Linked DNA regions of Schizosaccharomyces pombe. The protein of the gene in region 2 interacts with the protein of the main gene of each other region in a biochemical or structural test. Each region holds a gene or a part of one and is shown on either strand. Other genes may lie near its edges.

Region 1 (5,285 bases), on a different chromosome or scaffold from region 2:
TCTTTAGGTGTGCTACTTTCTCGATTGCAATCGAAGAAACTGTTCATTTCCAATGAAATACAGAAGCAATGGCATAAAAAGGATGATTTTACAGAATACGAAGATATTGTACACGAACTTATAGAACTTCCTGTTGTTTGCGCGCAAAGCATAGATGGTGGGTGTGTTTACGAGGTTATTAATCTTGTTCAGTCTGTTTTAAGAAGAGTCACTAAGCTTTTTCAATTGAAAGAACCTTGGAAATTATCAGATGATTCTCAAGAAAAGATTGACACTTTAATGTTAGTAGCTCACAGCCTACGCATTAGCGGAATTCTCCTACAACCTATAATGCCAACCAAGTCGACTGAGTTATTAGACCAATTAGGAATTCCTAAAAACCAGCGCTCCCTACAGAATGCAACTAACGTTTTTGAACCTACGGAGTTCACGTTCCACAGTGGTAATAATTCTCATTTGTTTGACAAAAGAACTCAATGAGACGTGTAGATCAGATAATTATGATGACAACAGTAAGAAAAAACTTATTTATTTAATAAATACATGATTAAATATTCAAGATATTTTGCATTAAGAAGTAATTGGAGTCTCTGCTTTGACTGACATGGGGCGGAATTGAATAATTTCTACGTTGAGCGTATGCATATTTATGAGAACAAGTACACCAGTCTTACGAAATTCGGGAACGGAAACCAATTGTATTCTGTTTCCCTCATTAATGACTGTTTTGCAGCCAAATTTCGGTTGATTACCACAAAGATATAGATCAGGCATTTCCTCCATTACAAATGTATCTTTGTCGGTGAAAGGATAGCACCCTAAAATCATTAGCAAATATATCGTTTGAAAAATGTACAGATTACTTACATAAGGTATCAGGGCTGGTAGGTGTGATATGATTCCATAGTAAAGTGTTTTCCATGCATTGAAGTGAAGATTTTTTGGGATGATATTTTCGGAGATCATTAATGTTTTGGCCGCTAGTAGCCAACACAAAATGATTGCCAAGAGAAAGCCAAGTGGGATTCGTAACTGTTTGTAAAGAAGATCCCAACCAAACTTTTGATTTAGTAAGTAAAGCGGGATGCAAAGGCTGTTGAGGAAGGATAGTTGAACTGTAATCATAAGGACCAGGCATTAAAGTGACATCTATGCTGGAACACACTTGATCAAGAAAATTATCTAGTTGGAAGGTGGGATTTGGATTGTAAGCAGACGTGTCATAGCCATATCTTTTTACTTTTTTCTTGCCAATGGGCACGGACGCAGAAGCGGAGTCGGCAATTTCTATAGAAGGTGCTAAGCAATTTCCGAGAATAATTAGCCTTTTGATGGAGGAAGGGGAAAAGGAAGAGACATGTGGAAGTGTTCCTCTTAGGAAATCTACAAGCTGATGAACTTGAATGCCTTCTATGCCGTCATTTGAGAGACCTAAGCCACTGACTGCCGCAATGTACTCTGGTTGAGCTTGCGATTCATCTGTAGTCATTGGAATGGAATGAGAGAAGATGCCTGGAAAACAAACGTCAACGACAACGAAACGACCTTGTTCATCTTCATGGCCCAAAACTGCAAGAACAACTCCTGTAACAACGCCAGCGTCATACAAAAAGCTTCCGCTACAATCTATACGGCCATAGTCATCCTCAAGAGCATATTCTATATCACCTGAAGCAGCATCTTCTGGGCTAACATACGGAGATTCTTCAGTAGTGGTGACAATTGTATGAAGTTGTGTGACATCGTTCATAACGTTTGGCTTAAGAGCTGTAGTCATATAAGCGGTAGCGACAACCCAACAGTCTTCATCTGACTTAACATCTAAAACGCGTTCCAATCGCTGTTTATCCGGCCATTTTTTTGAAGCGGCTTCTGTGATTCTGGGTCGAAGAGCGGTAAGTCGGGCGAAATAGATGCTGGCGTACTGTTGACTATACGTTTGCTGACTTAAACTAAGCTCCAAGCGTTTAGTTTCTTCACAAGGAATTGAATGTCTGACTTCAACCATGATTATTTTGTAAATATATACAGTTAGGTAAGTTAAACACTTACCAAAGGAGTAGTCAGGATATTAAATCGAGATGCTCCACGAAAAATTTCACAACAATGGAGAGTGAAGAGTTGTCTACGATTCATGCAATTACTAAAACGAGCGAGTATTGCAAGTAAATGTGCGGAAAAAAATATATATATATATATATATATATTTATATGATTTCCCAAAAAACCTATGAACGGCCCCAAAACACCTGTTTAAAAAAAAGAGGAATAAATATAATAACGCTTTTGTTGTTTTTTCAATAAAATCAGTTCTTTAAATGTTATTGACTAATTTACACAAGCAGCATATGTAAAGAGTAAGGAACTTCAAAGGTGTGCTATGCAAGGTTAAGGGGAATCAATTTCATGGAATGGAACCAGGTTTAGAAGGTTCGAATAAGCAAAGGAGTTGGATGCAGCAGATCAACAAGTAAGAATACGTTGTATATGAGAAAGTCGTGGTTCCTAACATGACTAGCTGTTGTTACCTACAACAATAAAGTGTTTGAAGAACATCTTTTTTTAAATGTAAACAAAGAGGTAAACTTGACGAAAAGAGAAAGAAGCTCAATAAAGGTGAATGTTTACTAATTGAGGATGAACAAACATCATGTGGGTTTATTTCGTTTCATACAATTAACATTTTTCTCAACCTTGAACAATCATGATGAATCCATATATTTAGTCTATCGAGTTTTATCACACAAAAGTAAAAGAAGCAAATTCCCCAACGAAGTAAATGAACTACAAACCCTTTCCTATAGCATAAAAAGTGGGTTTTCGATTTATTTGATGATTGTAAATTAATAACATTATGTTAATTAATAGGAGGAAAGGTAGGCCAACATAGTGCCCTAGAAATGGTTAAGGTGATTTCTGTATCTTACTATATTACTTATTAAAGATGTATATCAAAACTACATTAATTTAAATTGAGGTTTTATTTTATTCCGTTGAAATCTGAATATTAAATAACGCAATGTTGATCGGTCACACTATTACCCCATATGGAAAAGTATTGTAGAAGGAAAAGCAAGAATAGCAAAACCAAATTCAAATGTTTAAAGTAAAATGAAAAACTTGCCGATTTTCTTCTTCTTCAAAGATATCAATACATCCTTTATAAAAAAGCCGCTTGTCACGAGAGGTCAATGAAGCGGTATTGCCTGTTGTCCGATATCAGAGAGCTAGCTATAAATAGACTGTGGACTGTTAACATTCAGTATCGGCTACAGCTGCGGGATATCGAACACAGGGATAATCGAGTATACTGAGATGAATCAATGTTGCACGATTTAAAAAGGTTTTAACGACTCATAAACTTGTGTACCAAAAAAAATAAGAATCTCTATGTTAGAGAATAATAATTACTTGCATAGCCAGCCAGTTGTGTTTTAGTTGTTAATATACTAAATAGAAATAACTTGGCAACTTGAATGAAATGGAAATAAAATCTTATTGTGTGTGATTAATGCAGTAAAACATAAAAAAAATGAGAAACTGTTTACGTATTAAAAGGTCATACGGTTTAAAAACGGTTGAAAGTTTGATAAATTGAAGATCGAAAATTACGATGAGATCTTTTGCTTAATGCACTTGTATAGTCAACATTTCACACAGTTACATTTTCACATTCGCCGGAATGTCGAATTGTTTAAAAAACTTTTACTTTATAGTGTCTTGCAAGAAGGACCTGCCTGCATACTGTAAAAATTTCACTTTCGCACTGCTAGAGTTTGGAACAAACGAGCCAATAACGGTTCTGCGGACAGTTGTCGGTTTCCGCTTCCCCTGAGGTTAAACTAAAGCAGTAGAGGGATTTTGTGGGATCGGAGTTTGAGAATCCATGTTTTATATAAAAATTTCAGAGTTTTGTTGCTTTTTGTTTGTGCTCATCTGCCCCGATTTTTTTCCAAACAGTAAGTAACAAATCGATGCTGCTAAAATATTGATACTCACTGGATACCTTGTAGGGAGCTTGAAGCAATAGTTGTGCAATGATTGTGAAAGTCAATTTGGCAGAATGATGGGGCCTCGTGGTTGCTTGGTTAACGAATTAATAGAAAGCAACAAATCATTCAGATAAACCGGAAGAGACATAGATGGATATGAATTGTTCTTGTTCCTATATGTGCGTGCGATACATTACCGAAATTCTCTTCACTTCCGTATTCTCTCACTGCATGTTTGCGGAAAGTCAACGGACCAAATAAAAAAGTACATCGAGCTCCTTGTTAAACATTGGGACAACCGTCTAGGCTCGATCACGGATGTTAAAGCAGTCCTCACGCTGAACTTGTTTGGATTGGTGTGTGAAATGCAAGAGACAGGAGAAAAGAAATGAGGTTACGGAGAGTAAGCAAGTCCCAGAATTCCCGAAAAGCAAATTCCAATCTAACGAGCTAGTTGTTTAAACAACCAAGTACAAGGGTCCTTGGGGTGACAAATTGTCCAAGACAACAGGGACACCAAAAGAGAAGGGAACAGCCGGACTGAAAATAAGTCAGAAAAGATAAAATGCCAGTGCTACTGAAATTGAAACATTCTGCGACATTCACGGTATGGTATGACAGAATTATTCCCAACATCCTTTTTGTAGAAGTATACTTTTCATTTCAACAATCTATTCTTTTTTAAGTTGCATTTTTGGAAGCTTATTTTACCTTAACTGGCATCTATTTAGAATACCTCGGCTATGAGATGTAGCGCAGTACCGTATTTGATCCTCGTTCTTTAGTTGTCTTTTTATTGAATTTGGTACTGTATTCGTTAGGATGCGCTGTGAGATATATTAGGTGGGAAGCGATGATTTCTGTATTCTCCTTAGAGGTTGTTTAATTGTGGATTGCATTTTTTTTTGCAATTGAAAGTGGAATTGGAATTTTGCGAGTGAGTGTAAAGAACTCCTTCTTTGCCTTTCTACATACTTTTTCCGTAAAAGTAAAAAAAAAGTAAAAGGAATGTTCTATCTAACAGCAAACATTCGCAGTCATTATTGCGTTGGGCTCAAACCAATTGATGATATTTTACGTGTATATGATGAGCATTTGCGTTGACTTGACTGGCCGTATAACGGTCTCGCTAGTAGCTATTTGCAAGTTCGGTATTATGTGTTAAAAAGAAAAGAAAGCAAGAAACTTTTGTATGTAATAATGTACCCTAAAAAAGTAGCCAGTTTTCAGCTGGGTCGATGAAACCGAGCTCGTTTACACACACACAAGTTTCGTCAAGCGAAAAAGAAAGAA
Region 2 (7,698 bases):
ACTAAAAGGGCCACCATCTCTTCCAAAGTCTCTATTTGCTTTCATTGTGGAAGAGATTAACAATAAATAGCTTTATAAAGCAGTAGTGGCTACTTTACCAAAGGTACGGGGTTGGTTTAGTTTAAAGTGGTTGGTAGTATATAAATATAACGAACGCGAAGGCTAAGCAAAAATACCAAAATCAAGAATTTTAGAAAAAATTGGAGACTGTGAATTTAAAGAATTAATTTAAGCTTATTAATACTTAAACAGTACTGTTTTTACCAATGCACGAAAAATAAAAAAGGCACGTGCCAGGTTTTTAAGCAAGCCGCGTTCCAATGTCTATCTTCTAAAAAAAAGTAAAAGCAGGAACATTTTTGGTACAACTATTCATTATATCTAAAAAATTTACAATTGCATCTGCAAGTGCGTGTATAATTGCCACAGTTATTTTCTCTTCTCTTACAAACATAATCCTCGTTAACTAAAATTACAATATGTGATGATATAATGAAACTAATTTTATTCAACCTGTGAATATTAGATATCCAATTCAAAATTAAATTGTTAACAATATCCGTGAACATTGTCAGAAAATGATACTACATTGGTTATTGATAAATTCTCGGGTCTACAACGACGAAAGATAACCCGTTGGATTTGATTTATTAAACATAACCAACTTCTTACGTTAACTGTTGTTTTACAAAGTTTTCAAAATTATATTAAACTTGGAATTTTAGAACAAAGCAATTAAGGTACGTAACGTATAGCATTAGCCATACCAACGACTTTAGACATTTCTTTAGTGTCATGTACACGTACAATACTTACTCCTTGTAAAACACTAGCTGTAACACAAGCTGAAGTACCCCATATACGGTCTTTGGGGCTAGCGTCTCCAGTAAAGTAACCAGTAAACCCTTTACGGCTTGGACCCGAAAGCCAATGCATATCTTTAAACTGCGGTTTTTTCATCAGTTCATGAAGTCTTCCTAATAAACCGGCACTTTGTTTAGGTGTTTTTGCAAATCCAAAGCCAGGATCCAGTATAATATTGTATCGATGAACGCCGGACTGAACCGCAGCTTCCACGCGAGACGACAACTCGACAGCAACTTCTTCAACGATATCTTTTTCATATATTGAAAGTGCTTTCATAGTTTCTGGTGTCCCTCTCATATGCATAATACAAATGGGCACCTGTAAACTTGCAGCTAATGGTAACATTTTCTCATCACCCATCCCTCCAGTCACATCATTAATAATATTAGCACCTGCCTCAATGGCTAGTTTTGCAACTTTTGAATAATAAGTATCGATACTGATGGGTACTGTAATCCCTGAGCTTCGAAGTAAACTAATCATAGGTATTACTCTTCTGAGTTCTTCCTCAACAGACACGGGATCAGCTCCAGGTTTAGTAGACTGCCCACCTATATCTAGGATAGAAGCACCATCTCCAACCATACTTTTTGCTTTTTCAAGGATATTATTCTGCGAGACTTTACCACCATCAGAAAACGAGTCGGGGGTCACGTTCAAAATTCCCATTGTTAAGGCGCCATTAATGATTTTTTTGTTGTCAAAAGATGAGTACAATCTTATTCCTTGTGAAGGCAATTTATCAAGAGCTTCTTGTAAGGGCTGATGGGTATAAGGGTGTACTAAGTCTGGGCTCAAGGCCAGCAATGGACGTAAAACAAACTCACGTTCTTGCAGCCCTAAATGGGGAATAGTCAAAACTTCTGATTCATAAACACAATCTTCGTACAAGACAATATCGAGATCTATACACCTTGGTCCTTTTAAAATTGTTTTGATTCGACCCATTTCTTGTTCAATGGATTGACAAGCTCTTAAAAGATTGATAGGCGACATTCTGGTTTCAATTTTGCAAACACCGTTCAAAAAAGAAGGTTGGTCTTTATAATACATCGGCTCTGTTTCGTACAAAGGGGAAACATCCAACACACGAATACCCTCTATTTTATGCAACATAGATAATGCTGTTTGGATTTGCTCAAATTTGTCACCAATATTTGAACCAAAAGACAAATAAGCAATTTTGTTCTTAGTGGATTCGTATTTATGCAGAGACTCTTGTAAAAAGTACGACCGTGTTCGATAAATTTGCACCGCAGAAGCATTGGCGAATGTGATAGCACTAGGTTTCTCAGCTTTAATGCTTATATCGTCTAGATTCTTTGTAAAACAAAGATACTTTGAAAGATTGACAACCAAAGCTTCTATAGTCAGGAAAGCAGATTGTTCGACATATTCGGCGATTGCGCGCGCGATCTCTAAAGCTTCGACCTCCGTATTTGCAAATGATATATTTAAGCAAACTCTTTGCTTCTCTTGTCGTTCAAATGCGTGAATTCCTAATATCGTAGCTAACTCCAAATCCGAGAATTCAATACGATCTACAAAGTTACTGGTAGAATTGCGTTCGCGCTCAGCATAATAGTGCAATCCATTTTTAGACCTTAAAACACATTTGGGTAAAGTAAGCTTAATAGAAACATGCGAGGTATCAATAACGTCTTCAAAACATAAACTTGCAATTTTATTGACCAAATCTTTAGGGGTTGTAAAAAAAGACCCTTCAATTTCTTTTCGTAATAGCTTAGAAGCTATACCGTAATGAATCGTTGATTTTAACTCGTCTTTTTCTCCAGCTAACTGAACATTGTTTCTCATATATACATCAATTTGCACTGGCTGAGGTTCCTTTCTTTTCCATTGGTCTTGACCCACTACAGCAAATGTGTTAAGATTTTCAACTACGACAGTGTCATGTATCAAGTCCATTTGTCTAGTAGGATGTCGTAGAGATGAGAAGCGGAGTTGTCTGGGGATAGTGCTGACTATTCTAGGTATTTTGGCAAAACCATGGAGAGAATTATTTCTAATGAATGGATAGATTCCCCAAAGGTTTACTAAACTTTTCATGAGAGTTTAAAGAATTGATTATCTATATTGGAAGTATTTGCTGAAGCGACCAACACCATGATAAGTAAGAATAAGCAATACCTACGGTATCCTGATGTCAATTATCTAAAATGAAGGCATATGGGATAAAGAATTGTAGCATTATTTGACTGTTATTAAATTTAATTCATTATTGAATACAGCTGGGAATATGTATATACTCTGATCATTTCTATGGAGCATAGAGCGATACTGAGAAATAATATTATAAGAGATTTGTCAGATGACTACATTAATGTGCTACAAATCATTATACCCGAAAATAGAAATAAGGGAGAATCAAGTTTGATTAAATATAAAACATTCCAACAACTTTGTGAAACTCAACCTTACGCTATCAGCTTAAAAGCAGAAGGAAATTAGTAGAGAAAAAAAATCAAATTGCCATGTTCAAAATTAATAAAATTTGAAAAACATTCTACTAAAAAATGCCGTAAATTACTAAATCAATTTCTGTCAGCGTTGATGAAGTAACTTCCCATTCAATTTTAAATCTTTCATTAGCATACTTCTATGAACTGGATAGCAGCAGTAATTGAACATGCGATGTCAATATTTAGATTTTAAATATTTTACATATTGTAAATGTAGTTAAGCATGTATACTCCATTAATGAAAATGTAATCTTTCATACATATTTCGTCTGCGCTGGCTTCAGTACTTAGCCTACCTTAGGATTGTTCCCACTAATTTTCAATTTCGTTGATTTTACACACTGCTTCTTATTCTCGTAAATACCACTTTCCTAAGGAATACTTAGCGGAAAAAGAAATTTCTAAAAAAATGGAGGAATGGAGAAACTTCTTAGATATTAAAGTTATCAATGAATCTTCACTTGTAAGATATGAAATTTCAACAAGAATTTGAATGTCTAACTGTATAAAAGGTAACTGTAGATAATTTAAGTCTGCAATTGGATATATCCAGTGAAAAAGCACAAGAGTAAGGAACAATACGCATTATTTTTTATTTTTATTATTAATAATTCATACTTTCAGATATCTTAATATGTTTTATCAAGGCAACGATTTTTTGTATCCTATATACCTTATTCATGGACAACCTATAGATGATGAAATTAATTTGGAAATTGACGAGGAATCTCAACCTATATCTAATTTTCCTGTTTTGCAATACATTTTGTGTGATAAGTCTTCTCTACAAGGTTTGTTATTGTCAATTCCGATCATTCGATAGCAGATTCGCTAACTATTTGTAGAGAAACAAAGTAGATTGAAAAGTGGGTATAAAACTGTTATATTTGCTCTTTCATCTGCTCCATTAAGTGTAAGTATTCGATAAGCTGTATTTTATATTGTTACAAACTAATTGATTTAATTAAGGATTTTGACGAATTATTACCTGCAGTATATGAAATAAGAGAGAAAGATGTTTTATACAAAAAAGAAGATGCTGATAAGTATGGATTTATTTTCAATGAAAATTCCGTGGTAAGTAATTTATATCACAACAATCGTTGTTTGACATTCGATCCTTCCGTCTTCGGAAGACTAACTTATTGTAGCCTCGTGTTTTGAAAAAGGCACCTTCAACTCATTCCCCCCAATTATCTGTTCCCTCAAAGACATCGACAATCGATAAGACTGACACACGTAGTACAGAAAAGACTAAAGGGAAAGATATTTTCAGTAATGCAAGGAACCAAAAGGGAAACTCATCTCGTAAAAATAAAAAAGCTCCTCTTGAAAATCATAAAGAAAAGGAGCCTCTCTTGCCAAAGGAGGAGAAGTTGTCTGAGCAAGCAAAGAGAGAGCGCGATGATCTGAAAAATATTATGCAGCTAGAAGATGAATCAGTATCTACCACTAGCGTTCACGATTCTGAAGATGATAATTTAGATTCTAATAATTTCCAATTGGAAATTGGTACCGAAGCAAAATCTGCTGCACCTGACGAACCTCAGGAAATTATCAAATCCGTATCCGGTGGAAAGAGACGTGGGAAAAGAAAAGTTAAAAAGTACGCGACAACGAAAGATGAAGAAGGATTCTTGGTTACTAAGGAAGAAGAAGTCTGGGAATCATTTTCTGAAGATGAAAACATCTCAACTGGTACTTCAAATGTTGTTAGAAACAAACCGACTACTGTAAACATTGCAACTAAGAAGAAGAATACTGCACAAAGTAAACCACAACAAAAGTCTATTATGTCCTTTTTTGGAAAGAAATAAGTTACTATTCATTTTCGATAGTATTAAAACATGTGTTCACGAAGTCCCTTCAATTCTCATGCAAGCTATTATCAGGAGTTTTATTCATATAGAAAAACTGTTAATGTTAGTACAACCTTTAATCCTAATCTACTGTTTTTAGTTTTGTTTACACTATTCACAACCAACTATGTAAGTCTAAGAGAAGTCGAAATCAATTATCAATACATCTTTTAATTTTAAATATCATAAATAAATATGTTTCCTCAAAGCATAGAAGAATCGATTCTTTTTTTTATTAGAAGTATTAAATACTCCATACATTAATGAACCACAATGCGTTAATGTGCGTTAACTACAACACATAATTTGAAAGTTGAACTTCATATTTAGTCAAAGCCTTGTATATTGGAAGTAGTCATGGGCAAAAAGCAGACGAAGCCTATTAATGCTAAATCAAGGAGTGAAAGCAACGTAGTTGCGGATCCTAGATTTCAATCAGTTCACTCTGATCCTAGATTTTCTAGACTTAAACGTGGCAATTTTAAAGTAAAAGTTGATGAGCGGTTTAAATCTCTCAAGGAGGATAAGGACTTTAAAACTACTGCCAGTGTTGATCGATATGGCCGTCCTCTCAACCAAGATAAGGCTACTAAAGAGATTGATAGACTGTATGAACTGGAAAATGAAGGGTCGTCCAGTTCGTCTGAATCATCGGAAATTACTGACAACGAAGAAGTCGCTTCAGCGTCTTCGAAATCCACAAAATCGGAAGAATTAACCGATGAGGAGTCCGAAGATGAGGAAGTATATGATCCAGCTCGTGGTGAGGGAATTATTAGTACTTCGGAAAGTAGCGATGAAAGCGACGCTGAAAGTGAAACTGAAGCTCAACCGGAGATATCCGAATTAGCTGGAATCGAGCCAGAAGAGAATATTCCTCGTGGTTCAGAAACTAACCGTCTTGCTGTAGTAAACATGGATTGGGATAATCTTCAAGCAGTTGATCTTTTTGTTGCTCTTTCTTCTTTTTGTCCTCCTGGTGGGAAGTTACTGAAAGTGTCGATTTATCCCAGTGAATTTGGAAAATCCAGAATGGCTGCGGAACATGTTCAGGGTCCTCCACGTGATATATTTACTCCAGCTGACAATCAACCTTCTAGCGCCGAATTGCATGAGGCTCAAAAATTTGGTTTTGATAACAATGAGTCTGATCAAGATGAGGAAGATGCTTTAATAGAGGAGGATTTAGGCAACGAGTTTGATATGGTAAAATTACGCCAGTATCAATTAGAAAGGCTTCGTTACTATTACGCAGTAGTGGAATGTGATAGTGTAAGAACGGCAAAGGTTATATACGAAACTTGTGATGGCGCTGAGTATGAAACTAGCGCTAATATTTACGATTTAAGATTCATTCCAGATGATGTTACATTTGACGACGATGAATCTCGCGAAGTATGTACTAAAGCGCCCGAAAAATATGAGCCGAGAGATTTTGTCACCGATGCATTGCAACATTCAAAAGTTAAACTTTCGTGGGATGCTGAGGATCCACACAGAAAGGATTTAATTAAAAAGGCTTTTACTTCTCAGGATATTGAAGATTTAGACTTTAGCGCTTACATTGCCTCAAGTGAATCTGAAGATGAGGATGTAGATGTTATTCGTTCTCGTTACCAAAAGTTATTAAGTGGTGATGCTGATGACTTCCAAGCGAATAGTAACCCTTTTGAGGATGATGACAAACTTGAAGGCGCCAATGGTGAGATGGAGGTTACTTTTACTTCAGGTTTTGATGTTGATAACAATGCGAACTCTTCGGAAAAAGATGAAACCACTATTGAAAAATACAAGCGTAAGGCCGCTGAAAGAAAACAAAGACGGAAAGAATTGAGACAGCTTAAGAAAACAAAAGACGATGAAGGTGAAGGATCCGACGTTGATCTTGGTTTTGATGATCCATTCTTTAAGGACAAGGATGCTAGTCGTAACAATAAGAAAAACAAAAAGGGCAAGCATACTCAAATTGAAGATCCTACGGCCGCGTCTAAAGAAGAACTGGAAAACCTTGTTCGTGAAGATGAAAACGATTCTGAGCAGCTCGATCATTTTGACATGAAGAGTATACTGAAGGCTGAAAAGTTTAAGAAGAATCGCAAGCTTAAGAAAAAAGCCTCCAATTTGGAAGGCTTGCAGGAAGGATTCGAAGCTGATGTCAGTGACCCACGTTTTGCTGCTCTATATACTAACCATAATTTTGCACTTGATCCAACAAATCCTCATTTCAAACGTACTAAAACGGTGGAAAAAATTATGGACGAAAGTCGTAAAAGACGCTCAAATCAATTGGAACAAACACAAGACGGTAAGCCTGAGCTTAAAATCAAAAAGCGTAAAGCTGAAAAAGGAGATCAACGTCAAGAACTTGATCGCATTGTCAAATCTATTAAACGTTCTGGAAAATAAATTAGAAATTGTACTCTGTTTTTCCTCTTGAACGATTGGATTTATAGAGTTTGATTTTGTACATATAAATTGGTCAAAACGGG

The links. The genes of interacting proteins can lie anywhere in the genome.
Region 1: the proteins of cdc27 (region 2) and cdc1 form a complex in vitro, tested with the Schizosaccharomyces pombe proteins (3 studies listed by BioGRID).

What each region holds. Positions count from the first base shown.
Region 1 is NC_003424.3:4,011,773-4,017,057, reverse strand, and holds cdc1 (DNA polymerase delta small subunit Cdc1), read right to left. Parts: upstream 2,009-5,285; coding exon 868-2,008; exon of another isoform or gene 819-867; coding exon 571-818; 3' UTR 501-570; downstream 1-500. Other genes in the region: msm1 (methionine--tRNA (Met) ligase), read left to right, coding at 1-480; SPOM_SPAC27E2.14 (uncharacterized protein), read left to right, coding at 4,381-4,395, 4,447-4,536.
Region 2 is NC_003423.3:1,059,439-1,067,136, reverse strand, and holds cdc27 (DNA polymerase delta subunit Cdc27), read left to right. Parts: upstream 1-3,712; 5' UTR 3,713-3,759; coding exon 3,760-3,813; intron 3,814-3,862; coding exon 3,863-3,918; intron 3,919-3,974; coding exon 3,975-4,141; exon of another isoform or gene 4,142-4,195; coding exon 4,196-4,263; exon of another isoform or gene 4,264-4,319; coding exon 4,320-4,427; exon of another isoform or gene 4,428-4,501; coding exon 4,502-5,167; 3' UTR 5,168-5,419; downstream 5,420-7,698. Other genes in the region: mannan polymerase I complex subunit Anp1, read right to left, coding at 1-45; fol1 (dihydropteroate synthase), read right to left, coding at 736-2,937; pre-rRNA processing protein Esf1, read left to right, coding at 5,567-7,615.